Coturnix japonica: one gene and its partners. The main gene of each other region encodes a partner of the protein of the gene in region 7 in a complex. Links are inferred from orthologs where the notes say so. Each region holds a gene or a part of one and is shown on either strand. Other genes may lie near its edges.

What was found.
Region 1: MED1 (region 7) and MED13L share a complex: the UniProt entries of both Homo sapiens proteins name them as parts of the mediator complex. The link is inferred for Coturnix japonica from reciprocal best matches to the Homo sapiens genes MED1 and MED13L.
Region 2: MED1 (region 7) and MED12 share a complex: the UniProt entries of both Homo sapiens proteins name them as parts of the mediator complex. The link is inferred for Coturnix japonica from reciprocal best matches to the Homo sapiens genes MED1 and MED12.
Region 3: MED1 (region 7) and MED7 share a complex: the UniProt entries of both Homo sapiens proteins name them as parts of the mediator complex. The link is inferred for Coturnix japonica from reciprocal best matches to the Homo sapiens genes MED1 and MED7.
Region 4: MED1 (region 7) and CCNC share a complex: the UniProt entries of both Homo sapiens proteins name them as parts of the mediator complex. The link is inferred for Coturnix japonica from reciprocal best matches to the Homo sapiens genes MED1 and CCNC.
Region 5: MED1 (region 7) and MED23 share a complex: the UniProt entries of both Homo sapiens proteins name them as parts of the mediator complex. The link is inferred for Coturnix japonica from reciprocal best matches to the Homo sapiens genes MED1 and MED23.
Region 6: the proteins of MED1 (region 7) and PPARA are in contact, whole or in part, in a crystal structure (PDB 9IWM), measured with the Homo sapiens proteins. The link is inferred for Coturnix japonica from reciprocal best matches to the Homo sapiens genes MED1 and PPARA. Residues at the interface, in NP_004765.2 of Homo sapiens: Asn638, Thr639, Asn641, His642, Pro643, Met644, Leu645, Met646, Leu648, Leu649, Lys650; in NP_001001928.1 of Homo sapiens: Val284, Thr285, Thr288, Glu289, Lys292, Phe297, Leu302, Asn303, Gln305, Val306, Thr307, Leu309, Lys310, Pro458, Leu459, Glu462, Ile463.

What each region holds. Positions count from the first base shown.
Region 1 is NC_029530.1:10,337,043-10,341,190, forward strand, and holds the start of MED13L (mediator of RNA polymerase II transcription subunit 13-like), read left to right. Parts: upstream 1-1,348; 5' UTR 1,349-1,450; coding exon 1,451-1,522; intron 1,523-4,148. UniProt on the Homo sapiens protein: Component of the Mediator complex, a coactivator involved in the regulated transcription of nearly all RNA polymerase II-dependent genes.
Region 2 is NC_029519.1:2,301,195-2,304,694, reverse strand, and holds part of MED12 (mediator of RNA polymerase II transcription subunit 12), read left to right. Parts: intron 1-156; coding exon 157-292; intron 293-573; coding exon 574-735; intron 736-1,292; coding exon 1,293-1,670; intron 1,671-1,984; coding exon 1,985-2,135; intron 2,136-2,329; coding exon 2,330-2,535; intron 2,536-2,979; coding exon 2,980-3,060; intron 3,061-3,297; coding exon 3,298-3,500. UniProt on the Homo sapiens protein: Component of the Mediator complex, a coactivator involved in the regulated transcription of nearly all RNA polymerase II-dependent genes.
Region 3 is NC_029528.1:6,561,722-6,564,976, forward strand, and holds MED7 (mediator of RNA polymerase II transcription subunit 7), read right to left. Parts: upstream 2,096-3,255; 5' UTR 1,990-2,095; intron 1,783-1,989; exon of another isoform or gene 1,755-1,782; intron 1,572-1,754; 5' UTR 1,554-1,571; coding exon 861-1,553; 3' UTR 501-860; downstream 1-500. UniProt on the Homo sapiens protein: Component of the Mediator complex, a coactivator involved in the regulated transcription of nearly all RNA polymerase II-dependent genes.
Region 4 is NC_029518.1:64,955,311-64,958,810, forward strand, and holds part of CCNC (cyclin-C), read left to right. Parts: intron 1-645; coding exon 646-713; intron 714-1,041; coding exon 1,042-1,121; intron 1,122-2,483; coding exon 2,484-2,602; intron 2,603-3,106; coding exon 3,107-3,161; 3' UTR 3,162-3,500. UniProt on the Homo sapiens protein: Component of the Mediator complex, a coactivator involved in regulated gene transcription of nearly all RNA polymerase II-dependent genes.
Region 5 is NC_029518.1:51,943,080-51,946,579, reverse strand, and holds part of MED23 (mediator of RNA polymerase II transcription subunit 23), read right to left. Parts: intron 3,057-3,500; coding exon 2,876-3,056; intron 1,948-2,875; coding exon 1,777-1,947; intron 540-1,776; coding exon 323-539; intron 1-322. UniProt on the Homo sapiens protein: Required for transcriptional activation subsequent to the assembly of the pre-initiation complex. Component of the Mediator complex, a coactivator involved in the regulated transcription of nearly all RNA polymerase II-dependent genes.
Region 6 is NC_029516.1:65,574,271-65,577,770, reverse strand, and holds part of PPARA (peroxisome proliferator-activated receptor alpha), read right to left. Parts: intron 2,382-3,500; coding exon 1,934-2,381; intron 440-1,933; coding exon 192-439; 3' UTR 1-191. UniProt on the Homo sapiens protein: Ligand-activated transcription factor. Key regulator of lipid metabolism. Activated by the endogenous ligand 1-palmitoyl-2-oleoyl-sn-glycerol-3-phosphocholine (16:0/18:1-GPC). Activated by oleylethanolamide, a naturally occurring lipid that regulates satiety.
Region 7 is NC_029542.1:3,842,918-3,847,102, reverse strand, and holds the start of MED1 (mediator of RNA polymerase II transcription subunit 1), read left to right. Parts: upstream 1-1,385; 5' UTR 1,386-1,562; coding exon 1,563-1,590; intron 1,591-2,447; coding exon 2,448-2,554; intron 2,555-3,013; coding exon 3,014-3,092; intron 3,093-3,476; coding exon 3,477-3,531; intron 3,532-3,661; coding exon 3,662-3,794; intron 3,795-4,120; coding exon 4,121-4,149; intron 4,150-4,185. Other genes in the region: CDK12 (cyclin-dependent kinase 12), read right to left, coding at 1-629. UniProt on the Homo sapiens protein: Component of the Mediator complex, a coactivator involved in the regulated transcription of nearly all RNA polymerase II-dependent genes.

The DNA of each region.
Region 1 (4,148 bases), on a different chromosome or scaffold from region 7:
CAGTGAGGGTGAGGGAGCACTGGGACAGGCTGCACAGGGGGGTGGTGGAGTCTCCTTCTCTGAAGATATTCAAGGTTCACCTGGACGCTGAGCTGAGTGACCTGCTGTAGGGAACCTGCTTTGGCAGGGGTTGGACTCGATGTTCTCTGGAGGTCCCTTCCAACCCCTACGATGCTGTGATTCCGTGATTTCATAGCCGAGTTCCACACGTCGGGTATCTCCCAGGTCCCTTTACACCAGTCCCACCACATCGGTGTGCGAAGCTCCTCCGGACACTTGGAGGCCCTACGAGCCGGGCCAAGCTCTCGCTGTGAGCGGGACCCTGCGGGGCAGTCCGTGCGTTCCCGCTCTCGGATCCAGTTCGCGGACTTGGCAGGTGCTGCGAGACACCGCCGGCTGGAAGGGGCGGCACAGCGACCGCACAGCGGCCGCCCCGAGGCCGCCCCCCGCCCGCAGCGCGCTCCTCCCGCCCGGAGCCCTCAGGGCGGCGCCCAGCAACTTTCCCCCGCCCGGGGTCGATGGCCCCGCTCCGCTGCCGGCCGCAGCTCCCAGCTCCCGGCACAGCGCCCCCAGCGCAGCGCCCCCAGCGGCGCGGAGGATCTTTGCGGCGGAGGAGGGAGGGGCCGGGGGGAGCCCCAGCGCCGTGCCCCCGCCCTCCGCCGCGAGTCACGTGGGGAGGCGCCGACCAATGGCGAAGCGAGCTGCGGCTGGCGGCCGCCATTGCTGTCAGAGTGGAGAGAGGCAGAGGCGAGTGTGTGAGGAGGAGCGGGTGAGCGGGGCCGCCGTGCGGGCAGCGCCAGGCGGAGGGGGGCGAGGACGGGCACGGACAGCGCTCCCACTCCGGGCCCGGGCCGCCGCCCGCCTCCCGCAGCACCGGGAGACCCGCACGGAGCGTAAACAAGGCGGCGGCGGCGGCAGCAGGAGGAGGAGGAGGAAAACACCATCCACCCACCGCCAGCGGCGGCAGCAGCGAGGGGCGGCCGGGCGGGGCGGGGAGGGACACGGGCTCCGCACAGCGCCCCCCGCCCGCCGTCGCCGCCACTGCCCGCCGCCCTCCCCCGCCCCGCAGGGGCCGCCGCCGGACCGCGGGAGGAGCCCCGAGCCCCGCCGCGGCCGGGGGGGCCGGCGCTGGACGCGGAAGAAGGGCCCCGGGCCCCCCCACCCCTCTCCTCCTCCTCCTCCTCCTCCTCTACCTCCTCCGCGGTGCTGAGGCGGCCTGGAGGCCCGCGGGAGGGCTGCCCGCCGCCGCCGCCGCCTGCTGAGCGGCCCCCGCCGGAGCGGGCCCCCGCCGGAGCGGGCCCCCGCCGGAGCCGCCTGAGCGCCGCCCCCCCGCCCGCCGGCACAGCAGCGCTCCCGGGGCAGCGGGCAGCGCCCGGCAGCGCCCGCAGCCTCCCCCCGCCGCCGGGCCCCGCTCCTCAGACATGCCCCGCGCTGGGGCTCGCCGAGGATCATGACTGCAGCGGCCAACTGGGTGGCGAACGGGGCCAGCCTGGAGGATTGCCACTCCAATCTCTTCTCGCTGGTGAGTGCCCGAGGAGGTGAGGGGTTGGGAAGTGGGGGTTGTGGGGAGGGCGGGCCGGCACGGCGGCTCGCACCGGGCGCTGCGGGTTTGGCGCCGGGTGCGGCTGCCGGGGGCTTTATAGCCCGGGCCGTGGGGCTGCTCCTCCGCTGGCCCCTCCCCCGGCGCGGCGCCCTCGGCCGTGTCTCTCCGTGTCTCTCCGTGTCTCCCCGTGTCTCCGCTCGGTGCCCCCGGGCCGGGGTTGCTCTATTGTCGCTGTGACAGCAGCATTAGGGCGGCAGCGGGCGGGCACGGGGCGCTGCGCGGGTCTCGGGCCGCTGTCAGATCCTGGTACGGCCCCGCCTGGCACAGTGCCTGCCCCGGGACACCATGGGTGCAGAAATAATCATTTATTCCATCCCTGGGGTGAAACAACCGAAGATGTTGTCTGCCGGGTAGCACTGATGCTGTATTTCTCCGTCGTTGGTAATGGACAACTTTGTACTTGGATTGATTGTTTGGTTTAATGGTGCAGGAATTATGTTATTGGCTGTTTCCACGCAGAAGCAGCGTCCCTTGGAAGCCGGTTTACCAGCAGGCTGTGCACCTGCTGCCCACAGCCCCTGTTTCTGGCTGGGCATGGCCGTGCTGGGGGGGCTGGCAGCCAGGTGGGGTTGGGGGCTTGATGTGTGTGTGGGAATGCACGGTGCGGGGTGGGGATGGAGGGGGGGGCGTTGGGCCCTTCCCCTCTGTGAGCGCTGGATGTGGCTGGTGGTGGTGGGGTCTCATTTCCAGCAGAAAGGAGGGGAGTGCTGTTGGTTGTCTTGCAAGAAGGAAGGGAAAGAAGAAAATGGACTGGAAATGTGAATGATGTTTTTGTTGAACGTTTTTCTTTTCATTGCTGTGTGTCATTGTTATGCCTCCGTCTGCTGGCTTCTCTGTTATTTTGTTGCTCTTATTTGTTACTTTGTTCATACCTATGGAGAATGTGGAGCAGGAGCCCTCAGCGCTCAGCTACTGGGAAAGGAGTCCCGGCCTCCTTCTGTGGGAATGAATGCAAGTCTAATTTTGGCTTTTTCATGAACTTGTTCCATCACCTGGCCTTGTGCATGGGCTTTCCCTTGGCGGTGCTCTCTGAGCCGTAACTGCATGTAGGAAGCAGTGCTGTGTGTGCAGAGCTGTGGGAGCTGTTGTGGGGACTTTGAATGTACTGCTCATACATGTGAAGGAAGAATGGTGAGCATGAGGGAGACGGCTGTATGGATGGACAGAGGAACGGAGTGCTCTCTGCTTTGTGTACGGAGCCGTGAGGTCCCCATTTATTCATGGAAAAGTGATTATTTTTGAGGTGTGTAACTTTACATACTTGCAAACTGCAGGTCTGCCTTTGGTTAATAGAAATAATGGTTGGCATGCAATTGGCATCCGTCATGATCTGAAGTTACTACATAGTGACTGCAGCGTGGTCTGTCTGCTTTGTGTTTCACCCTGCTGTGCTGGGGAAATGGGAGCTTTTCAAATAGGGCTGTGATCCCGTCAAAATGCAGGTGGGCTTCATAGTAATTATGATTTTAATTTGTGATCTCTTTGTTTCTCAGGTAATTTTGTGGGAGGCATCCATACCTGTAATGTGGTACTGTGCATCCAGCTGTAATGATTTTATTATTTTCAGGGTCTACTTGCAAACAGAAGAATATCCATTATGTATATACTTGTATGTATGTGTGTGTATGTATGTATACACACATATATGTATATATACATATACATATATATATACAAATGTGCTAACTATTGGTGTGATTTGTTTTCAGGTAAATTGATATTTGTTATGGTTTATGTATCAGTGAAGGATACTGAAGAAGGAAATAGGGACTGGGAGTGCGTGGCCAGCAGAACTGACCTTACAGCCTCAAATTGTCCTACTCATTTAAAAACTTATGAAGTGTTAAAGGTGCAGTAGTTGGGGTTACTAATGGGAGAAAGTTTTGCTCATCACTTACTCTTTCAGTGCAACAGAACAGAAACATGCACAAATGAATCAGCTGTTGATGGGAACTCATTCACTTTGTAGGAGTGAGGTGAATTACTGAGCTGTATGAAACCCATTCTGCCATTAGACACTGAGTATTACAGTTCATTGTAAATCTCCAGCTTCGTTTTGGGCCTGAGTCAAAAAGAAATGTTCTTGCCTGGAGAATTACAGTTCAGAAATAGTACTTCTGTTTGTTCGTGTTGAAGCAATGTTTTTCCCCACAAACATTCCCTTTGTCTAAGGAGGAACAGCAGCTCCTGTGTCGGAGGAGCTGGGCTGTGCTGTACGACTGAGGTTGGCTTTGGGGTGTTTGTCACCCCATCATTTCCAGCTTGTTTGTCTGTCAGCTGTAGATGGACTTTAGAGAGATGGTGGCACTGCTGTTTGTTTGAGTCTTCATGGGGAAATATTCCTGGAAGTATCTTACTGTCATGAAAAATATTTTCTAAAGCTTTCTAGTAACTGTTTACGTTTTGTCAGTGGTGCCCGGAATGTGTAGAGGCTCTTAGTTTAAAATATGCCACCTGAGGGGAAGGCATAGTCTTAAGGTTATAAAATGAGCTCTGATCGTGCACATATCAGAAGTGATGTCCGGCACCAGCAGTGGTGTTCAAG
Region 2 (3,500 bases), on a different chromosome or scaffold from region 7:
ACCAAAGGGAGGATTAGCGTGGGAGACTAGTCTGAAGAGCACTCGGTACTTCTGGCTTTATGCACTGCTTTTAGCAGCCTAGTAGTGTCTGGTGCTACTGTGATGGCAGTGACTTTGATTCTTCTGTGACTTTGACCTTTCTGCTCTCACCAACAGTGAGCTCTTCACCACTGTGTTGGACATGCTGAGTGTTCTCATCAACGGCACCCTGGCTGCTGATATGTCCAGCATTTCTCAGGGCAGCATGGAGGAGAACAAGCGGGCATACATGAATCTTGTCAAGAAACTCAGGGTGAGGGGCACCACGTCCTGTACAGGGAGCTGCATGCTGTGCTGTGGCCATCCTGCTCTGCAGAGATCTGTCTCACATAGTACTGGTTCTGTTGTTTAGAAAAGCAGTGGGGGTTGCCCTGGTGGCTCTGTGGGTCTTGAGTTGAATGGTGCAAAGATGACAGCTAATGCAGAGGTGGAGGCTGGCACCAGCAGAAGCACGGGTGGGATTTGTATGTTGGTTTTGGTATTTTTTTGTTTTTCTGAGGAGTTGTTGAAGAGTTCTCTACTCCATTTGTGCAGAAGGAGCTGGGGGACCGGCAGTCTGACAGCCTGGAGAAGGTGCGACAGCTGCTGCCACTACCCAAGCAGACCCGGGATGTCATCACCTGCGAACCTCAGGGATCCCTCATTGACACCAAAGGCAATAAAATAGCTGGTTTTGACTCCATCTTCAAGAAGGAGGTACGTGGAGCTTTGCTGACTGCATCACAGCTCCTTAGGGCAGGTGCAGCCTTGTCCTCTGATGCCTTGAGTCTTCATTGCTTGGGAGGCATCAGTATGCAGCTCGTTGTTGCCTGCCAAGCCTGAAATGGCTGGCTGCACGCAGGCAAGCTGGCGCATAACTATGTCTGAAAAGGGCAGAGCTGGGTGTTAATTCTCAGCAATGCAGGCTACTACGGTCTGAGAAGTTATTTCAACTTTTATTTTGTAATTGTGGCTGTATGAAGGAAAAAGAGCCATAATCCCTGACATGTGACTTAACGGGTGTTACCAGTGTGCAGCAGGAGATTGGCAGAGGTGGAATGAAGGAGAATGCCAGTTGTTGATGAAGGGCTTTAGAAATGGCTGTATTGCCACATGGAAGAGCAGCTCTGACTGTCTTTGTGGTTGTTGTGTTTTGTTGGTTTTTGGTTCCGTTTTTCCTGGGATACGTGGAGTGGGGTCTGATGGAAGTGTCCTTTACTGTGGGAGGAGAAAAGATAGGGGTCTTGGAGGTTCTTATTTCTTTTGTCTTAAAGGGTTTGCAAGTCTCTACGAAGCAGAAGATTTCCCCTTGGGATCTGTTTGAGGGCTTAAAGCACTCAGCTCCCCTCTCCTGGGGATGGTTTGGGACAGTCCGGGTGGACCGCAGGGTGTCTAGATTTGAGGAGCAGCAGAGGCTTCTTCTGTACCACACACACTTAAAACCCAAGCCCCGCAGTTACTACCTGGAGCCATTGCCTCTGCCCCCTGAAGAGGAGGAGCCTCCTACACCTGTGGCTTTAGAGCCAGAGAAGAAGGCTGTGGAACCAAGCAAGGCTGATAAAACAAGCTCCAATCCTGCCACTTCTACTGAGGAACGCAAGAAGAAACAGAGCAAAACCAAGAAACGCAACCAGTCTGCCAGCAAAACTGAGGTAATGGACTGTCCAACACATATGGATTTTCTGTGTCCAGCCCTGATATTTTAGCCCTGAGCCCTCCCTTCTGAGGGAGCTGCAGAGAAGTAGTGGTGAAGATGAAATGTAATTTTTGTCTGGGTTTTCTGGAGCTTTAATGCCATTCCTGCTAGCCTGGGGTTGTGCAAACATTTCCTTATTTTCTGATGGGTGGGAAGGAGGCTTCCAGCTCAAAGAATCCAGGCTTCCTCCTGTGAACTATTCCTGCTCTCGATCCATTCATGAGTTCTCAGTGCACACTGATCTTTTTTACTCCCTTCTTTTCCTTGCAGGATTTTGTGTTGGGTCCCAGCCGAGGGGTTTCATATGGAGTTGGCATGCCTACGGATCTCTTGCATCACCAAGCAGGAAGCACTATGTCTAGGCTGGCATATGGACAGTCACCAGTGGGTCTCTATGCCCAGAATCAGCCTCTTCCAGCAGGTAGGTGTGCAGGAAGGAGGTGTGTGTTGCATCTCTGTGGGAACCTCGTGTAAGAACTCTGTCTGAGATGGTCCTACGCACTTTTGTCCCTCCTGCCTGTTCTATTTCCATACATATTGATGAGCAGTTGTTCTGAAGCTCCAAGGCTCAACAACAACACATGACTATTCAGTCTGTTCCTGTTCCTCTTCCAGGTGGCCCTCGCCTGGATACATCCTACAGACCTGTGCGCATGCCACTGGGGAAACTTGTTCAGAGTCGTCCTCCCTATAGTGGGGTTCTGCCTTCAGGGATGGGAAGCATGATGGGCATTGACCCCTCCTACAAGCCAGCAGTGTACAGACAACAGCCTCCAGTGTCCCAGGGACAGATATTGAGGCAGCAACTTCAAGCAAAGTTGGTATGTCAGAACTGTGCTCTTGGCAGCCCCCACAGCACAGCAAGCCTTAGCTGTTTATTAAGGGTGTCCAGTCTAGCCAGAACTCTCAAATCCTGTCACCCTCTTTGCCCTGGAGAAGGGTCCCTCGTGTCTGTTTATCTGGGCAACTCTGTATTTGCCACTGGCTTTGTTGGATCTGTGTCTGTGAGTGAGGTACACTGGGGACATCTGCAGTTGTTGGGCAGTGAGAGGAGCATATCCTGGTGTTGGAGTGATAGGATGATAGTGGCTTATTTACCCAAGTTGAGGTGAAGCAAAAGTTACTAGCATCTGTATGCTGTGGAGCAACCTAATGGGTTAATCAGTGAAGCTACTTGTTGGATTTGGTGGGAGCTTCTGAGAGGGGAGAAGCAGTGTTCCTGGCCTTTGGAGATGTTGAAAAATGGTTCTTCTGTTGCCTTCCAGCAGGGCCAAGGCATAATGGGCCAGCAGCCAGTACGCCAGATGGCTCCAACCCCGTCCTATGGGGCACTACAGCCCTCCCAGGTGAGTCTGAGTGACCACAGGTATGACTGGAATCTGGCTTCAGTGCAGGGCACTCTCTTCATTCCTGCTGTTAAATCTTGAAATCTCTTAATGCTTCACTTGTTTTCTGGCCAGCAGAATCTGAATTCTAGATGAACAGTCTTTGTGATGGCATTTACAGGAGGATGATCTCCTTTGCTGCGAATTATTGTACCCTACTCTGTGACTGACAAAGGGTTTGTTTTTGTTTTATTCCAGGGTTACACACCTTACGTCTCCCACATAGGGCTTCAGCAACACCCTTCCCAGTCAGGCACAATGGTGCCTCCTACGTATTCTGGCCAGCCGTATCAGAATTCCCACCCCAGCTCTAATCCTGCCCTGGTGGATCCCGTCAGACAGATGCAGCAGAGACCAAGTGGCTATGTGCACCAGCAGGCCCCAGGCTATGGGCACACTTT
Region 3 (3,255 bases), on a different chromosome or scaffold from region 7:
TTTAGCTACAGCGATCTCAATCCCACCACCCAATGGTTAAAATCTACCTGCACATTTAAATAAATCTGCATGCCTGAAAACAGCTGAATTATCCAAGTTATAATTTGCATAACGAGAGTTACAAGTAGTTATAGTAAGTTCCCTCATCCACAAAGTTGATTGTTTCTTTTCTTTCTCTCTTTTTTTTAAAGGTGCTACATCTAGTTTGGAAAGCAGACATGCTACAGACAGGAGGGCTTGAGTAACGAAGCCACTTATCCATTATCAAATCACTCTTTGTGCCATGGGCTTGATCCAAGTCCAGTTCTCTTTAAACACAACTGATGTAGCTTCCATTTGACAGACTTCAGGCACAGACAAGTTACACCACATTACATGTGTAATAAAGCAATTCTTAAGTTCTTTAACATTGTTACATTACTACAAAAAGTTAGAAAGGAATGGATTTCTCAGGCTTCATATTGATTTCATCTTCAATCTAGAATAACTGAAAAGACCCATTTAACGTGTAAACAACTAACATTTATTTGAAATGCAGGAATTGTCAGCTTCCATTTCAGTCAGCCAAACCCCCTGCTTCCAGCAGCACACGGCATTTACAAAATGAAGCACATCCCAGAAAGCTGCAAGTGACAAAACAACGTTATACAAAAAACCTAACAGCATCCACGCTGCACAAAGCAGAGTTATGTTTTGACCAATACACATATAACTCACACAAAATATTAAATATCCTCACCTGCTTAGCAGCTCACACCCACCCCCCAAGTCAGTGTGAACGCTTCAAACAAAATACAGCATGTACCCTCAGAATCCATTTGGCCTCTCTCTATTGTAAGTTAACATAAGACACGATTCCTTCATGTCATTTCATCAATAATGCTGCACATAGCTGCATCTTTGTCTAACACCTGATCTCTCTTGCAGCCAGAACGTTCTCTCTGTTTTTCACTCTGTCCAATGCAGTTGTTGCCGTCATCAGTGTCCATTGGTTCTGTTTTCACTCCCAGTCCCCCCTCTGAATGAGGAAGATCATCAGGCAAGGACGCCAGGCAGTTCTGAATCATCTCCACAACTCGCTCTAAATGCTTCTGAAATCGCTCTGCAGTTTCCAGACGCTGACGTTTCTGCACTTCCATCATGACTCGCAGGGTCTCCCTAGCTTGGTGAGGACGGTACTCGTTTATAAGATGATGGACGTGAACAAAAAGCAGTTTCAGGTCCTCCAGTTTCTCTTCTCGCTTTATACTCCCCGGACTCCTTATCAAGATATCCAAGAGATCCAAAAAGTTGACTAAGATAGACATGTTCAGTTTCCTCAATTCCTTTTTGTGATCAAACTGCATGGGATGCAGCCGCTCAATACCCTGGCTTTCCAAAGGTCGGATAATTAAATCGTCACACTGGAACTGATTACCAAACATCATGTAACTGTCTTTCACAGGTGGAGGTGGCTTTGGGGCCAGACCTTTGCGTATGTTTTCATCGGTGTATTCCTTTATATACTGCATTGGAGGCGGAGGGAGGGCACTCACTTGCTGAGGTTCACCCATCTTTGGGGATTAAAATACCTAGTGGATAGAAAAGAAACGTGCATTACATAACTTATGCGACAACTCCACAGCACGCATGAAGCTAAGAAAACAAACCAGACAGGAGATTCTTCAGCACGCAAATAGCAGGAAACTCCCCAATAAATCCACGTCAGCTTTGCACTGACATACACAGCACATTAAGCACTTCTCAAACCAGACCTGCCAACGAGGAGGCACAGAAGGAAGGAGAGGCCTGATCCGCTAAGCCCGCATCCCAGGGCTGGGAGCGGCAGACAACGGCAGGCAGGGAGAGGCAGCCCTTAAAGCAGCACCCCCCTCCCCCCCGGCCCATCACTACAGCACGGCTCCGGGAGGGCCCAAAGCCGCAATGCTGAACAGAAACAAAGGCTGGGCCGGTCCTACACACAAGGCCCAAAGAAAACACCCCACTCACCTGCACACCGCGCTGAAAACACCACCGCCACCACCGACACCAACACCTCACATCCGGCAACTGCTCTCCTTCCTCCTCCCCTCCATTGGCTCGCAGCTCAAATGGCGTCGTAGACTTTGGTTGGATGCCCGCAATGCCAGTCAGGAGCTCGTTCCACTCACAGCCTGGGCTATGGCGCCCTATTGCGGCTGCCAGGGGCACGGCAGGGATCTCAGCGGGGGTCCCAGCAGGGTCCTCTAATGGCAGAGATCCTCGAATGGCAGAGATGGGAGCGGCCGGCCCGACTCTTGTCGGCATCAGACTCCCTGTGAGACCAACTTCTGCATGAATTGGTGTTTAGTATTTGGTATTCCAGGACTGCTTTCATAGACTCGTAGAACTGCCCTCGTTCAGACGCTTCCTGGACTCTGGTGAGCTCAGTGCCCAGACCGTGGGGAGCCGCCGGTGTGATGGCAATGCTTTAACTGCTGAATGATGCAGGGAATATATGTAGAGCTTCCATGCAACAGAAATTTGGGTGTTATTCCATCACAAAGTGAAAGCATCACCCTGGGAAGTGTTAGCATCCTTTCTATAGCTGAACACATGCAGCCTGGATGCATAAAGTCTGCAACAAACCGATGGAACTTCTTGCTTTTCTTCCATTTCTTTGTTTAAGACAGATTTTAAGGAAAAAAACAACTATCTGTGTCTTCCATATTGCCGTGGGACCTCGGGCTGGCTGGCAGCGCTTCTGCAGATGGCCACTGGTCTGGCAATGCGGCTTTTGTGCTCTGATTTCCTTTTTTCCTCAGCAGATGGCAGTAACCTCCTTCATAAGAAGGAATAAGGGTAAGAGAGCCGCTGTCTACGTGCCCTATCAAGGGCAGAGTTGTTTCTAAATATTACTTCAGTGCACTCTCACTACTTTGTAGGATTGGCAGGTGTTGGTTTGCAGAGCAAACTGTTGCAACTCCAAACCCCACAGACAAGGAGTTAAAAGCACCACTTCTAGAGAGGAATGAGAAAACCCACCTGGTGGGGGATATTAACAAGTCTTTGCTATTGTTAGACTTTCCAGACTTTGATTTCACATTCTCATACCACGAGCTGAGCTCGATTATCAGCTGCCTTGCACTCTGTGAACTGCTCAGTACAGCTCTCAGTGCTGTGACTTCAAAAGGTAGCAGGGAGCCAAGCATTTGTTTTTCACACGTCCTTTTGATCTTGAGTCATTTTCCTAGTTTGCACGTAGAGGCCAACAAATGCAAAAAGAAAAAGGGGTTT
Region 4 (3,500 bases), on a different chromosome or scaffold from region 7:
TCCTTTCAGCAAGAAAGCGAGTGTTTAACAGTTATGCCTCAGAGATGGCTTAGCAGGCTAAATAATACAAAGGGTATACTAGTTAACCTATGCACACGTGTCACTGGCTTAAATTATTGTTTTTAACCCTGTAATGGTTTCTACTTTGAAATGCTCTGGTTTTTATTTTTAGAACAGCTCCAATAGCACCATTTTTACACTGTTAAATGTCGACTTTGTGTAGACACAGCTATCTTTCTGTTAGAGTCAGCTTTCAGTAAAAGCAGTACATGGTTCTGTTTCTTAGACTGGTAAAACAGAACTCCTTAAACACTTTAATTGTTTCTCCAATACAGACAATAAAAATACTACCTTTACTTTTGCTTCAATTTGCTTATTTGCGGAGCAGGGATAATTAATTTATGGTAGAAGAGAACACACTCTGCAGAATGGCACTGATGATGTTATAATAGTGTTTCCAAACAGACTTCTGCAGTGATTGCAAGGAAAACAATGGTTGTCTTTAATAGACTTTTAAAGAGGAAGAGATCTCACTTTCTCTATTTTGCCCTGTATACTCTTTGTTTCTACCACATGGGTAACTGGCAAAATGTTTATGAATCATGTAGTCTAAAGGAGTTGTTATGCTCTCTTTGTTTTGCACAGGAGGATAGTGAATGACACGTATAGAACTGATCTTTGTCTGCTGTACCCTCCTTTCATGATAGCTCTAGGTAAGTAACACAAGTAACGTCACTGTCACCTTTAAATAGATGCCTTCTGTACTTTGTCCCATCAACAAGTTTTCCTTAGTACGCTCTCTTAAGCTTCTCCAGTTTATATTTCATACAGTACTGACAGTATAACCTTGCAACTTAGAAAGCCTTGAAGAAAAATCAGGTAATTAATCCCCAGATTTCTTCTTTGAAAACTCGCTGAGATTTTTTGCAGAGGAACTGAGGAACTCCAAACACCATAGAAAAGTACCTGACTTGGAGAGTATTTCTAAGTGTATTAAGAGATACTCAACAATGATTCACTCTTATCACCTGATCTTTGCAGCTTGCCTACACGTGGCCTGTGTTGTCCAGCAGAAGGATGCGAGGCAATGGTTTGCTGAGCTATCTGTTGATATGGAAAAGGTACTCTCTTTTTACCTCCTGCCCTCTGCTATGGACTGACTAGAAATGTTAGCAGTGGTTTGAACCTGTTTTGCATGTGTGTGATACTGATTTGAACTTCATTCAGCAATCGCATTACGGACTATTGAAATTAGGTAGGAGATAGGAAATGTCAGGTCATTTGGGTATCACTCTGCACTGAAAGACAAGACATAAGGGCAGAGCATTGCTGCTGTTGCCATTTTACAGACTGAAATAGAAAACCAGTATCTTGTTTGTTTATTTAATTTTTTTGCTAGAAGAAAAAAGAATTCCCAATATTTATTGCTCAAGATTGAACAGTATTCTAATAAACAACATATGTTTGACATGTAAGGTTATCATAGGCTTGGTGTTGAATGTGTTTGAATGTTTAAACGTTTCTGTTCCCATTACCAGTGATTACATCTAAGCTTGATTTTTTTTAAAAAAAATTAATTTTTAGATTATTATTATTATTTTTAACCTTTAACACTATGGAACTTCATAGCCAAACATAGTTTCTGGTTCAAGGATGTATATTGTTCTAGCATTTGATCAAAGTCCATAAACTGGAAAGAAGTTTACTTCATTAATTTAGTAAGTGGCGAAACAAATAATGAAGCAAACATGGTTTGATTTCTGGGTGGCACTTTGTGAAGCTGGAGTTGGACCTGATCCATGTGGGTCCCTTGCAAGTGGGGTTATTCAGTATTTATCCACCTTCTGTGTAGAATATTGCACTAGAAAATTAACAGGAAATTAATGTAGCCTCCAAACTGGTAGAGAATATTTATACTTCTGGAAATAGAGTTTGAAAATTCAACAGTTCTTATTATAAAGTATTGAGACACTTCCTAGCTCTTGATTTTTTTAATTTTATTTTTATTATTATTTTGGAAGTAAAGAATTCAGGGCACCGTTGGTTGGTTTCATTTGTTTTTAGTACTGTGCCCCCATGGCTGGTATAGAACACAGACAATAATCAGTTACTTCATTTGTAATCCGTAATCATTTAGCAACAAACACGTTGCCAAGTGTCCTTGTTTTCCCAGTAGCATCAAATATAAGCAGCCGTTCGACTTTGGGAGGAGAAATGGTTGATAAAGTGGGAGGGAAATGGAGTGGGAGAGAGAGATATTGGTTCTGTCAGGCTTCAGTTCAACAGTTAAGCCAAAAAACTCTTTGCAAAAATGGTTGATTGCCAGACCGGATTATATAGGAGACAGCTCTGTTTCTATCATGAGAATTATGCTTCTTAATTTGAGTTTGAGAAATGGATAATTAACTGTACACTGCAAATGATGATATAAATATAAAAGTCACTATTGTGATTGACCTAAAATGTACTTTCTTTCAAATCAGATTTTAGAAATAATCAGGGTTATTCTGAAGCTGTATGAGCAGTGGAAGAACTTTGATGAGAGAAAAGAGATGGCTACTATCCTTAGCAAAATGCCTAAACCAAAACCACCTCCAAACAGGTACCATACCTCCATTATTTACTGCACCTTTCATATGGGAAAAAATAAAGTATTATCTTATGTGCTATGTTAAGTTTGAGGCATAGTGTATGACTGCACTGCCGGCTTTCCTCTAAGTACCCAGTCAGACTGTTCAGGAGGAGAATATTTGCTCTTTCATGGAAAGCAGTAATGTAGTTAGAATCTGATCAATACAGTTTAAAAGGAGCAGTGTGAGGCCTGATGAAAGGGCACGATTCTTTAGAACAGTGCCTGTTTGATGTCATGTTTAATTGCTGTGATTAAATATCATTACGTGGAATCTGCACGTGCAAATTCCTATGTGTGAGCTTCTGTTATGGGAACTCTGAAACGCTGATTTCAGGAGTGAATTCAGAATGGAGTTGCATTGGAATATTTTGAAATCGCTGTTCAAATACATGAATAAATGTTTTCTGTTTGCAAAAGACAGAAATGCAGTACGGTGCTGCTGTTCTGAGACGTGTTTCTTTTCCTTTCAAACAGTGAAGGAGAACAGGGTCCAAACGGTAGCCAGAACTCTAGTTATAGCCAATCTTAAGACATTCCAAAGAACTTCTTTACGGACCACTTTGACTCAAGACATCCTGGGATCTTTCCTGTGTTCATGAAATGGACAGAATTTTTTTAATACCATCTTTGACAAAGAACTTGAAGAATAAATAGCTTGTTTGTGTCAAGCATTTTGGAAGTTTATTCTTTAAAACTGCATCATTTTCTCTGACGCTGGAGCAAATGTACTAAGATTTCTCAGTGTAAGGAATCAAATGTTAAACCAAGCTGCAGAAGGGTAACACTGTCCACTCAAAACAAGTAGTTCATTACTGGTTTGGTTTGCTTTGAGAAAATTGTGGCTTGCCATTAAAAGTGATTTTTATAT
Region 5 (3,500 bases), on a different chromosome or scaffold from region 7:
AGTTTTGGAAGAACTGTATTCTGTTGTCTTAGTATCTGAAAGACTGTTAAGACAGAAGTCCAAGTATTCACTACTATGGGGGGTGAAAGGAAAAGGTGTGAAGCAATGCATTCAGAAGCTACCTGAATGAAAGCATGTTCGATGTTTGAAGGCTGAAATGCACTAATCAAATATTGTACTTCTTTGTGGAAATGTGCACACAATTCATAGAATATTAATGGAATAAACATTACTGTGTTAGCAGATTATTAGGCATGGAGGAGATGAAGTACAATAGCATCACCACAGTAGGAATAAAAGCCTGAGCTCACAGGCAACTTACCATGGAATTTGTATAAACCTCCCAGATGATCCAGTAAGGTTTCTAGTGACTTAGACACTGGAAGCAGTTCCAGAAATCTATGGATTACAATGTCAAACACCGGCAGAAATCGCAGGCACACATTTCCAAAATAAATTGGAAGATACTGGGGCTGGATCTGAACTGGGGGATTGACTTGCTCTGCCAAGCCTTCAAAATACAACTTTTCAGGATATTTCTGGAGGGAAAGAAACCAAACAAGCTTAAAAGCTATTTCTTTAAAAGCACCATGTTAAATATTCAGCACCTACACTGCTTTAAAAGACTCTTCATAACCCTCATTACCACTCATAACTGCAATAAGAGGTTATCAGCACAAAGCTTACTGAAGAAAAACTATCTTTTGAGTGAAATCACACAATGGTTATGACTAGAAGATACATATTCAGAAAAAATCCCATAAGTTTCACCATCATTTGAAGGAGCATAAGGGAGCAATAAGTAAACCAAGGCAAAGCTAAAAGCAACTAGTCGCTATGTGTCCCTTGTCAAGTGTTTTAAGAGGAAACCTAGAGGAAATTAACACCACTGAAAGCTTTTGCATCATGTACTAAATCAGAACACCAGAAATAAGACACATGTTACTCCCAGGGAAAGATCTGGAATGTAATCAAATACCTGATGAATATAGCTGAAGCACGTGCACAGTATTTACCTGTGACTGAAACCTCCACATGCCACACTGAGTCCAGTAACTCTATAGCAATGACAGAGCACTTCCCAGATTAATATAACTTGGTCTTCAACTACATATTCACTTTTAGAAAGTTAAGACACTGTACTGCCAGTGCAGAAGCAAATGGGGACCAAAAGGCTCCCGGATCAGAACTGTATCTGCTTAGTTGCACGAGAGTTTAGTTGTGCCTATTTTGATCCAGCATTTATGTATCCTTTGATAGAACGCTCCATCATACATCTCTTTTTAGCCAGCAGAAGCCAATATGTTTACAAAAACATTAAAATCTCATCAATTCTCTTCCCTGGCGTGTCTAGATATTGTATTCTTCTCACACGGGAGATGAAAGAAACTTTAATAATTAGGAGAAAAATGTAGATCTAACTGTTGTACTAGTCATATAAGAACAGAAGGGAATATACCTTCTCCCTGGTGCACAAGAACTCCATCCTAGATGAATCTCAATAAAAACAAAGTTTTAAAATGATTGGATTTAAATGAACAAGGGTTTCTAATCAGCCCTTCAGATGCTCCCATCTTTGGATATTACAGCATTATAATTTGAACACAATCACATAAACACAGCATTGCTTTTCTATATTAACTCAAACAAATTACTACTTAAGTAGCTCTAAAAATCTACAGAACTGTCGTGTAATTTTCAAGAAAAAAAGACTTCTTAGCTGATCTGAACTCTACAGGAAGTATTAGAATACAATGGTTTTATTAACTTCAATACCTTGTGATAACTCATGTGCTTAGTATGCCAGTCATTCTGCAGCCAATGCTCTGGAGAATTCTCTTTCACAAAATCACTCACTCTGTTTCTGAAATCATTAGGTTTGAGTAAGAGTAATTGAATAATGAAGTAACAGACTTGAGCTTCATTTCCTTCATGACTACGCATAGCCTTCAAACAAAAAGAAAACATGGAATTACAGAGTGGATGCTGCTGTCTGCTTAAGAACCGCTAGACAGTAGTGAGCCAGTATAGCTGAACATGACATAGATCTGCACATAAATCCACAGTGAAAATATAGTCTCTCAGCTGTATTTTTGGAATGTAGACAGAACACAGGTAGGCTCCACCACTACTGGAGAAAAGTAATCATCACTTTTTCTACTCTGTAAAGAATAAAATCTCAAAAAATTCCTGGTGCAAATATATTCCCTGAGAGTTCTATTTCTCTCTCCATTGAAAATAGCTTCATTATCATTAATTGGTTAAGGCTGCTTCGAACTTCCAGCCACTCTATCATATTCACACTTGAGTTTGAAGTCCCCATTAAAACTCAAAGAGCTTTATAATTTAAAATCTCATCTTAGTACAATTATGACTGAAAATTTATTTCTATCTGGCTAAGTTCTGCTTTTCTTTAATTTACAAGATAACCTGAAAAGACAGAATACCATTTCTCCTCTATTTTTCTGATGAAACAGGCTGAATTCCAAGCAAAAAGACTATAACTTTAGCAGTCACAGGGCTATCCATTTGTTTCCAAACAATGGCATACTACACTCCTGACTTTTCCAAAAACAGAAATAATTGCACAGCTCTGAGATCAAAGATCCACAGCACAAAAAATAAAGTTCAATAATAATGTTTCAATGGTTGTCTTTAAATAACCACAAAAGGTTTCCCCTGCAGATTCAGGTAACTGTAAGACTGACTTTTTCATTACTTACAGAACTGATCTATTATTTTCCTTATCAAATAGTCAACATTTGAAGCTGATACACTTTAAAAAAAAAAAAAAAAAAAAAAGTTCTCACAAAAGCATCACAGAAAGCAAGGACCAAACTCCAAGCAGGAAAAGCTCTTTTAACACTATACTTACCAAACAAAGTATCAACCTGTCCAGTGTTACAATGTTGTATTTCCACACCATGTCATTGAGAATCTCAATACATTTGTTGAGCTGCTGACCTCCCGCAGAGGTAGAGAATTCATACACCAAGAAATCCGCAAAGGTCCTGACATGTGCCACAAGAGCTCTGGCCCCAATTCTTTCTAGTACTCTATCATAGAAGAAAAAAAAAACCAAAAAAACAAAGCTAGTCAAGAATGTTTAGAAGCAAATCAACAAATGTCACACTCTTTTTAATACATTTTCACCTGGAATATTTTCAATGAATGACTGAGTCAGTACTCTGGCACAGAATACGTGCTTTCATTATGCATTTTTATATGATTTCATAGATAATATGCATATCTAGTAGCCCAATGCAATTTTACTGGGAGCTGGGATTGTTTAGGCTGGAGAACAGGAGGCTCAGGGGAGACTTCATTACAATCTACAACTTCCTGAAGGGAGGATGTGATGAGGGGCTTGGCCTCTTCTGCCAACAAAACAAACAGGACCTGAGGAAATGGCCACAAGTTGTACCAGAAGAGGTTTAGATTAGACATAAGAAGGAACATTTTCTCTCAGAGTGGTCAGGCACTGGAATGGCTGCCCAGGG
Region 6 (3,500 bases), on a different chromosome or scaffold from region 7:
TCAGAAGAAGACAGAAGAGCTCAAACCAACAGACCTGTAGCACTCCAGTTACTTAGCTTTTACACTTTTCATGCTCCGAACCGAGTGAACAGCTGATAGCTGTGCAAGTGATTTTGCTCCCATCTATTATTAATATTGCTGTTGTCTTTAAATATCATGGAAAAAAACAAAACAACACCAACTAAAAATCCTTAATACATGTCCCTGTAGATTTCCTGCAGTAAAGGGTGCAAATGTGCGTCAGATTCAGTCTTCTTGATTATCTGAACAAGTTGAGCGTGCTCTGTGACAAGTTGCCGGAGGTCAGCCATTTTTTGGAGAAGTTTCGGGAAGAGGAAGGTATCATCAGGATGGTTGGTTTGCAAGTGCAGTTTCAGTACGTGCACAATGCTCTCTTGCATTTTTTCAATGTGTCCTACATTTACAAGACCGGGACGATCTATTCTCAAAACAGAAGAATACATGTCAAAAATTTTGAAATATTCTTTATTGCAGGCTACTTTATAGGTTCTATATTGTAGGCTGGTGTAAATTTACATTGTACACTTGAGGGCAATGACAATAACCTCATCAACTTCAACAGGTTTTGGAACAGGCTTAAAGTAAATCTTTAAAGAAAATGTAGTCTTAGCCCTCAGGTCAAAGCATTTTTAATGCCCACAGTTATTTGAGGAAAGAGTTCATAGTACTAAATACAACCCGTATTACTGAAGGAAAAAAAAAAAACAAACAACCAACAAACACAAAACCCACCCCTTCCACTCACAAAACTAAAGGAAGCATTCAGCCTAGGAATCCAGTTCTACACTCTGCATGACATGATAAAAGAATTCAAATGGTAGGGATAAGTGTGAAAAAACACATGGCTATTTCTAGAGCCTTCGTCAAGTTTGGGAGATCAAAATAAGATAAAAAATATATCTCGCTTTCACCCTTGGTTCCCATACATATTGCCATAGCATAAGTTATTGACAGGACGTAGAGAAGTACCTATTAAGGACGTTTCACGCTTTCCAGCATAGGGTCCCACTTGCAGCTACTTAGAGACCTATACTTAAACTCTCTGGATCAAACTTCTCCGTGAGAACTATGAGGTCACAAGCTAAATTTGTTTCTTGCAAACTTCAGCTATTTCCAAGGAGAAGAAAAGAGAAGAATACCATTTTGCCTGCAAAGAACTCTCTTGACTTTTGAAAACTCAAAATATCAATATGGTGCGCAAAAGTAACTCAAGATTTGATGGGAACTTACTATCTAAACTAGCTCTTGAAGCACTTGAAAGTCAACAGACAGAATTCACTGTTAAGGATGCTGCCACAGGTAGTGAAAAGTCTTATGAGTTTGGCAGCATATAAAAAAAGCAGGCAACCATGCCATTGGAGCTGTCTTGGTCTTATTTCTCTTTTTCAAAATGCTTATGAATAGTTTTGTATTTAACCTTCAGTATGAATGTCCTTTCTGTAGGAAGGAATGGATAACATTTGTGTTCTTTCACTCACAAACACTGAGCATAAAAAAAACAAAGCCACGCTCCCAGGTGCTATAAAATTATTTTTAAGGCACCATAAATTATTTTTTGGAATTAGCTAATTAAGTTGGGTTTTGAAAATAAGTTGCAGTACTAAAATCAAAAGGCAGGACATGCATCAACAGCACTGCATTTGTGCAGAACTCATTACATGATCCAATCAGCAAGTCAAAGCTGAGCAAAGCTATAGTCTACCTCTGTCTCCATTTCTTCATTACAAGCTGCTTTTCTGTCCATTTTGTAAATGTAAATACTGCTCCTTTAAACATAAAAAATACTAATCCCCCAAACCTCAAACAAAAACACACCAACATTCTTTACATTCCACTTTTAAAAATACAGAGTAATTAGAACCCTCTTCAGCTTTAGAATTATTGCCTCGAAGAATAAATATGTAGCGCTTACCTCCACAGCAAATGATGGCAGCGACAAAAAGTGATATATCACTGTCATCCAGCTCCAGTGCATTGAATTTCACAGCAAACTCAAACTTGGGCTCCATTATATCACAGAATGGCTTTCTCAGACTTTTTAGGAACTCTCGGGTTATAAAACCGTTTCCATAGGCTACCAGCATCCCATCTTTGTTCATTACAGATGCTAACATGGCAAAGATGGCTTCATAAACTCCATATTTCAATAGCGTCACTTGATCATTCAAGTCAAGATTGGAGAAGCCAGGGATAGATTTAGCAAATTCAGTCAGTTCTGTGACAGTCTCTACAGATGTACACTGGCAGCAGTGGAAGATTCGAACTTCGGCTTCCTTATTCTGAATTCCATTGGCAACCAATTTTGCCACCAGCGTCTTCTCTGCCATGCACAAGGTATCCATATCATGTATAACAAACGGCTACGGAGAAAACAGTATTAATTCATCAATAAAATAAAAGCTATTAGTCACTGTCTTGCTAAAGAACTGAATTTGGACAAACCTTTTAATTTTCATAATAATCAGTTTTTAAGCTATCAATAAACCTTGAGTTCTTTCATATATCTGCATAGAGAGAACCATGTATTACAAAACTATGAACTGCAGTGTTTACAAGCAGGTCTGCTCTTCAAACAACAAGGTAAAAAACAGAAGGTAAATAGGAATGACATATCTTCAATCTACTTTTACACAGAATTGTAGAATCACAGAACCCTTAGAGTTGGAATGGACCTCTGAAGGCCATCTAGTCCAACAAGTCACAAAAACACGACCTGTTTATTACTCTTATGTTCATTACCAGATTTTCATAACTATGTCACAGCTGTTCTTCCATAGAAATTTTGCTCAACTCGCCAGCTAAATCATCTCTAAAACCAGAATCCTATTAGGATGTCAGACGACACTAAACTTCAGTCTTGATCACATTCTTTTCCGTAAATAAAACCCCATTCATTTAAAAAAGATATACATTACAATCTGATGAGGTATTGCCAAGGTCTTAGGAGCCAAATATAGAAATGACACCTCATCATCATGAAAAATGCTTGTTTATGCTGCAATGAGTTACAGTAATGTCAAGAATTAGGATCTCCTGAAATCAAATATTGATGCACTGTTCAGAAATAGGTAAATTATTAATGTGTTTGGCTACGCTAGACTATAATACACCAAATTCCATAGTTTAGAAGATAGATTGCTTACAATTTTCATAACAGCCTTTTTTTTTAATTTTAACTGAAATTAGGATTTTTATTTTACTGCTGATTTTATCTTCTATATCACATATAGAGGATACCTCTTCATTGTCAAACATTGATTTCCTTGCCATATTCCATCACTTTTAGGAAAACTCTGCTCATTGTCAAAACAGCAGGAATTTCACTACAATCTCAGATGCTGTGCAACTGCTAAGTAACTATTTCACAATACCTACTAATTAGTCATGAACAAAATACTGTAAGTAAAATATCATAGAGAACATTCACTATTTTTTTCAAGACCTTGGATGAATTATCAATGAAAATTAAACTGTTTAGC
Region 7 (4,185 bases):
TTATAACTTTTGGGAGCATCCCTTTTCCGATGGCTTTTACTTCGCTCTTTGTGGCTGGACTTGAGCTCCCGATCCTTCCTGGACTTTTCCTTGTGCGCTTTGGCTGAGCGGGATTCCTTGTTGCTGCTCTTTGAGGACGGGGCCTTCGGGTGCTCCTCGCTTTCAAGCAGTCTCTTAGAGGACCCCGATACCCTGTCCTTGGTAGACCCGGACCTGCTGGAGGCCTCCAGGCTCTTTTCCAACTTCCTCTCTTTCTCTGCCTGTTTGCTCTTCATCAGCTCACGGATACGTTTGTGCTGGTGGTGTCGATGTTTCTGCGTCCTTTCGCTCCTATCCGCTTTCCTCTCCTCATTCTCCCTCCTGTCCAACTTAAGGGCCAAATCATCCGAGAACGTATCCGAATCCGAACTGATATCATCGTATTCCACCAACGGTTTGATCACAGCTCCCAGAGGCGCCGCCGTCTCTTGGGCGGCCAACGGTGACTCCTTGGAGTGCCGGGATTTATGCCTCTTATGCCTTGAAGCCACCCGGTGCCTCTCCTTGCTATTGGAGCTGCCCGATGAGTGCAGCGAGGTCCCCCCGCCGCCCCCATCCTTCTTCCCCCCATGTCTCTCTTGGTTTGGCATTCCTCCTCCTCCACTGTGCTGGGACAGGGGGAGGCGGGGGCGCTCCTCCAAATCCTCCTCGACTTTCCAACTCCCTCAGCCTCCCTCTATTCGAACCATTCACCGCCCCCCGGCACCTCCTGCTGCATGGGGAGCGGGACGGAGAGAGCGAGGAGGAAGGGAACAACGGGGAGAGGGAGAATGGGAAAGGAACGGAACCGGGAGCGGCGGGGAAGGACACCGGGCCTCAGCGCCTCATCCGAGGGGCCCAGGCCCGGAGGGCAGCGCCGCCGCGGGGGGAGCCCCGGGAAGGCGGGAGCTGGGCCCACGATCCCTCCCGGTCCCGTTGTGTCCGGTTCCCTCCCGCCCTGTCCCAACCCTCAGTACCGGGTTCCCACCGTGCGGCCCCGTTCGGTCCCCGCCGCCCCGGCCCGGCCCAGCGCCCCCCGCTCACTTCCCAAAGCGAAACGGCTCCTCGGCCCAAGGGGGGCACCCGCCAAGTCTCGCGAGATAACTGCTGCTTCTCGCGAGACTCGGCCTGAGCCCTCCCCCCGCGAGATTTCAAGCGCTGAGAATTGGGAAGGCGGAAGGGAGTGCGCGCGCGCGCACCGTCTTCTCGCGAGGTCTGAGAACGAACTTTACTCCGTCCCGGGGAGCGCACGAAGCCCCGCCCCTTCCGCCCGCTCAGCACCAATCAGCATCCAGGGGGCGGGGCTTGAGCGCAACGCCCCGCCCCCTAATCACTCCCCCTTCTCACCATGACTCCCTACCTCTCGCGAGACTCAGAAGTTCTCGCGAGAAGCGGGAGCCGCGGCCGGAGGGATGGCGGCGGGCGCCGCCGTGTGAGGCCGGAGCGGAGCGGCCCGGCCGCGGTTTATCCCCATCCCTTCCCGTTTATCGACGTGATACCGGCCCTGTGGCTCCGCCGCGGGCCGCCCCTCCCCTCCCTGAGGCATGAAGGCGGTGCCGGGAGGCGCTGAGGGTGAGTGCGGCCTAGCGGGGCTGCGCTGTGTGGAGGCGGAGGGAAGGCCCGGCCTCCTCGGGATGGGGGGGGTTCCACAGCTCGAGGGACGGCGGTTGGGCCTGCAGGGAACGGCGGAGCCCGGCCGTGGGGTCCCAGTGGGTCTCTATGGGGTCTCTATGGGTCCCTATGGGTCCCTATGGGTCCCTATGGGGTCTCTATGGGTCCCTATGGGTCTCTATGGGTCCCTATGGGTCTCTATGGGATCTCTATGGGTCCCTATGGGTCTCTATGGGGTCTCTATGTGTCCCTATGGGTCCATACTCACCATGTGTGGGTCGTCGGGTCCCCTCCCCACTTTGGGTCTCTATGGATCCCTATGGGTCCCAGTGGGTTTCTATGGGTCTGAATGGGCTTCAATGGGGTCCCCATGGGTCTCAATGGGTCTCAAAGCTGGGCATTAAGCAGCTCCAGAGCGGGGCTGTGGTGGATGGAAATAAAGGCTGATGGGCTCCTGTGGTAGCGAACCGTTCGGTTGTTTGTTCTGCTTTGATTTGATGGGGTTGGCATTAAGTCCATGACATCTGTGTGTATCAGTTTATAAACCCTTCTGATTCTATAGGCCTTGTAGGGTCATGTTCTATGGCAGTTATGTTGCCATAGACTTGTGTTGGAGCCAGAAATACCTGGTATCAGGGAGATGCCTTCCATAACAATGTAACTTAATAAAGTGCTACAATGAGTTTTAGAGCCCCACAATGTATAGATTGGATTCAGCACACATTTATAAAGGCTGAGTGTGTCCCGGCTTGGAAGGGCTGTGCAATCAGCTCACGTTCTCTTTTGTTTCTATGTTTTCATTCCGCTTTGTCTGACAGAGGCAGAGAAGCTGAATAAGATGAGTGCTCTCTTAGAAAGACTTCATGCAAAGTACAACCAAAACAGACCTTGGACTGAAACCATGAAGCTGGTCCGTCAAGTCATGGTGAGAAGTGCTGGGGTTTCCTTTACAGTGATGCTCAACACTCAGTGTTATCTCAGTCAGATGCAGCTTTGAAATACCTTGGTGAGGGTAGAAAGGAGTGGGAGGCAGGGAAGAGCATCATCAAAAGCTGCTGTATGTGTTGTGGTGTTAAAGTTAATCTCTCTTTGTTTCTCTTGCTCCTCTCATATAACTCGTAGCTTATGCTATTTAAGAAGTTGTTGCAGTCTGATCTTTCACAAGAGCAAGCTTAATAATCAATTCCAGACCTGCCTGTTTTACCCACTGCAAATATGGATATGATTCTGGTACAGGAATCGCAATGAGGGTGTAATTTGGGGATGAAATCCAATCTGCCTTTAATTACCTGAATAAACCTCACTCGACTGAATGAAAATTGCAGTAATTTTCCTCTCATGGAGTGAAACTTTAAAACGACTGTTTTTCTTCTTTCTGACGTAGGAAAAACGACTTGTGATGAACTCTGGGGGGCACCAACATCTGGTGAGCTGTTTGGAGACCTTGCAAAAAGCATTAAAAGGTTGGTACGTGCTGTGCCTGCACTCAGGAAATGCTTAACAGTGATATACTATGGAAATACTCTGTATTAGAGGAACCTGCGAGGTTATTGCTTGCAAAGCTCAGTGTGCTCGTGGTGCTTATAGAAGCATGCTTATTTCTTGTGAGTCATTATCAGCCAAAATTGCCTGTGTTGCTTTTATTCTTATTGCCCATACATGGATTCCACTTGTGGATGAAAATCCACACTGAGAATGTTTGTTTTTCTCTATGCAAAACGATTCTTGTTTTTTGAGTATGGAGTGGGTGTGAGTAAGTAGTTGGGATTGCTTTTAATGCTGATACATCATTACTGGAAAGATGTTCAGTCGTATCACTAAGGCTTATTTTTGCTTTCTTTGTCTAGTGTCTTCTCTGCCTGCCATGACAGATCGCCTGGAGTCCATAGCCAGACAAAATGGGTACATCTTCTCCTTTGTTTCACAGCAGTTTTGTATCTCCTACTTATCTGTATACATCATAATTTTGCTGCTGGTTTGACTGTTTCTTGTGTGTATCTCTTAGTAATTTTTGCTTTGTTTTGTATTTAAGCCTTGGATCACACCTCAGTGCAAATGGCACCGAATGTTACATCACTTCAGACATGTTCTATGTGGAAGTCCAGTTAGATCCTACAGGGCTGCTATGTGATGTCAAGGTGGCTCACCATGGAGAGAATCCTGTGGTACGTATTGCTAAGAAATACAAGAAAAATACCTTTGTTTTTGGAACTGCAGTTTTGCTTCCCTTTTTCTTGTGCAGAGAAAATGGATTGTACTGAACATTCCCCCAAACCTAATGTTATATCTGCTTGTTCTGCTGCTTCTGAAAGTTTCATTTCTGGGGGAAGAATAGGGAAATTAATCTTGTATTTGTGAGTGTTTTGTTGCTTCTCATCAAAACTGATGCTCACAGACTTCACTGTCCTGATATTTTACAGCTGCTGTGCTGCACAAAGACTTACACTGAAGCATTTGATGTTGATTTTGCTGTGTGTTCTTTCCTTTTCAGAGCTGTCCAGAATTGGTGCAACATCTGAGGTGAGCAACAAGAGCTGTTGCATCATTCTGATTTTG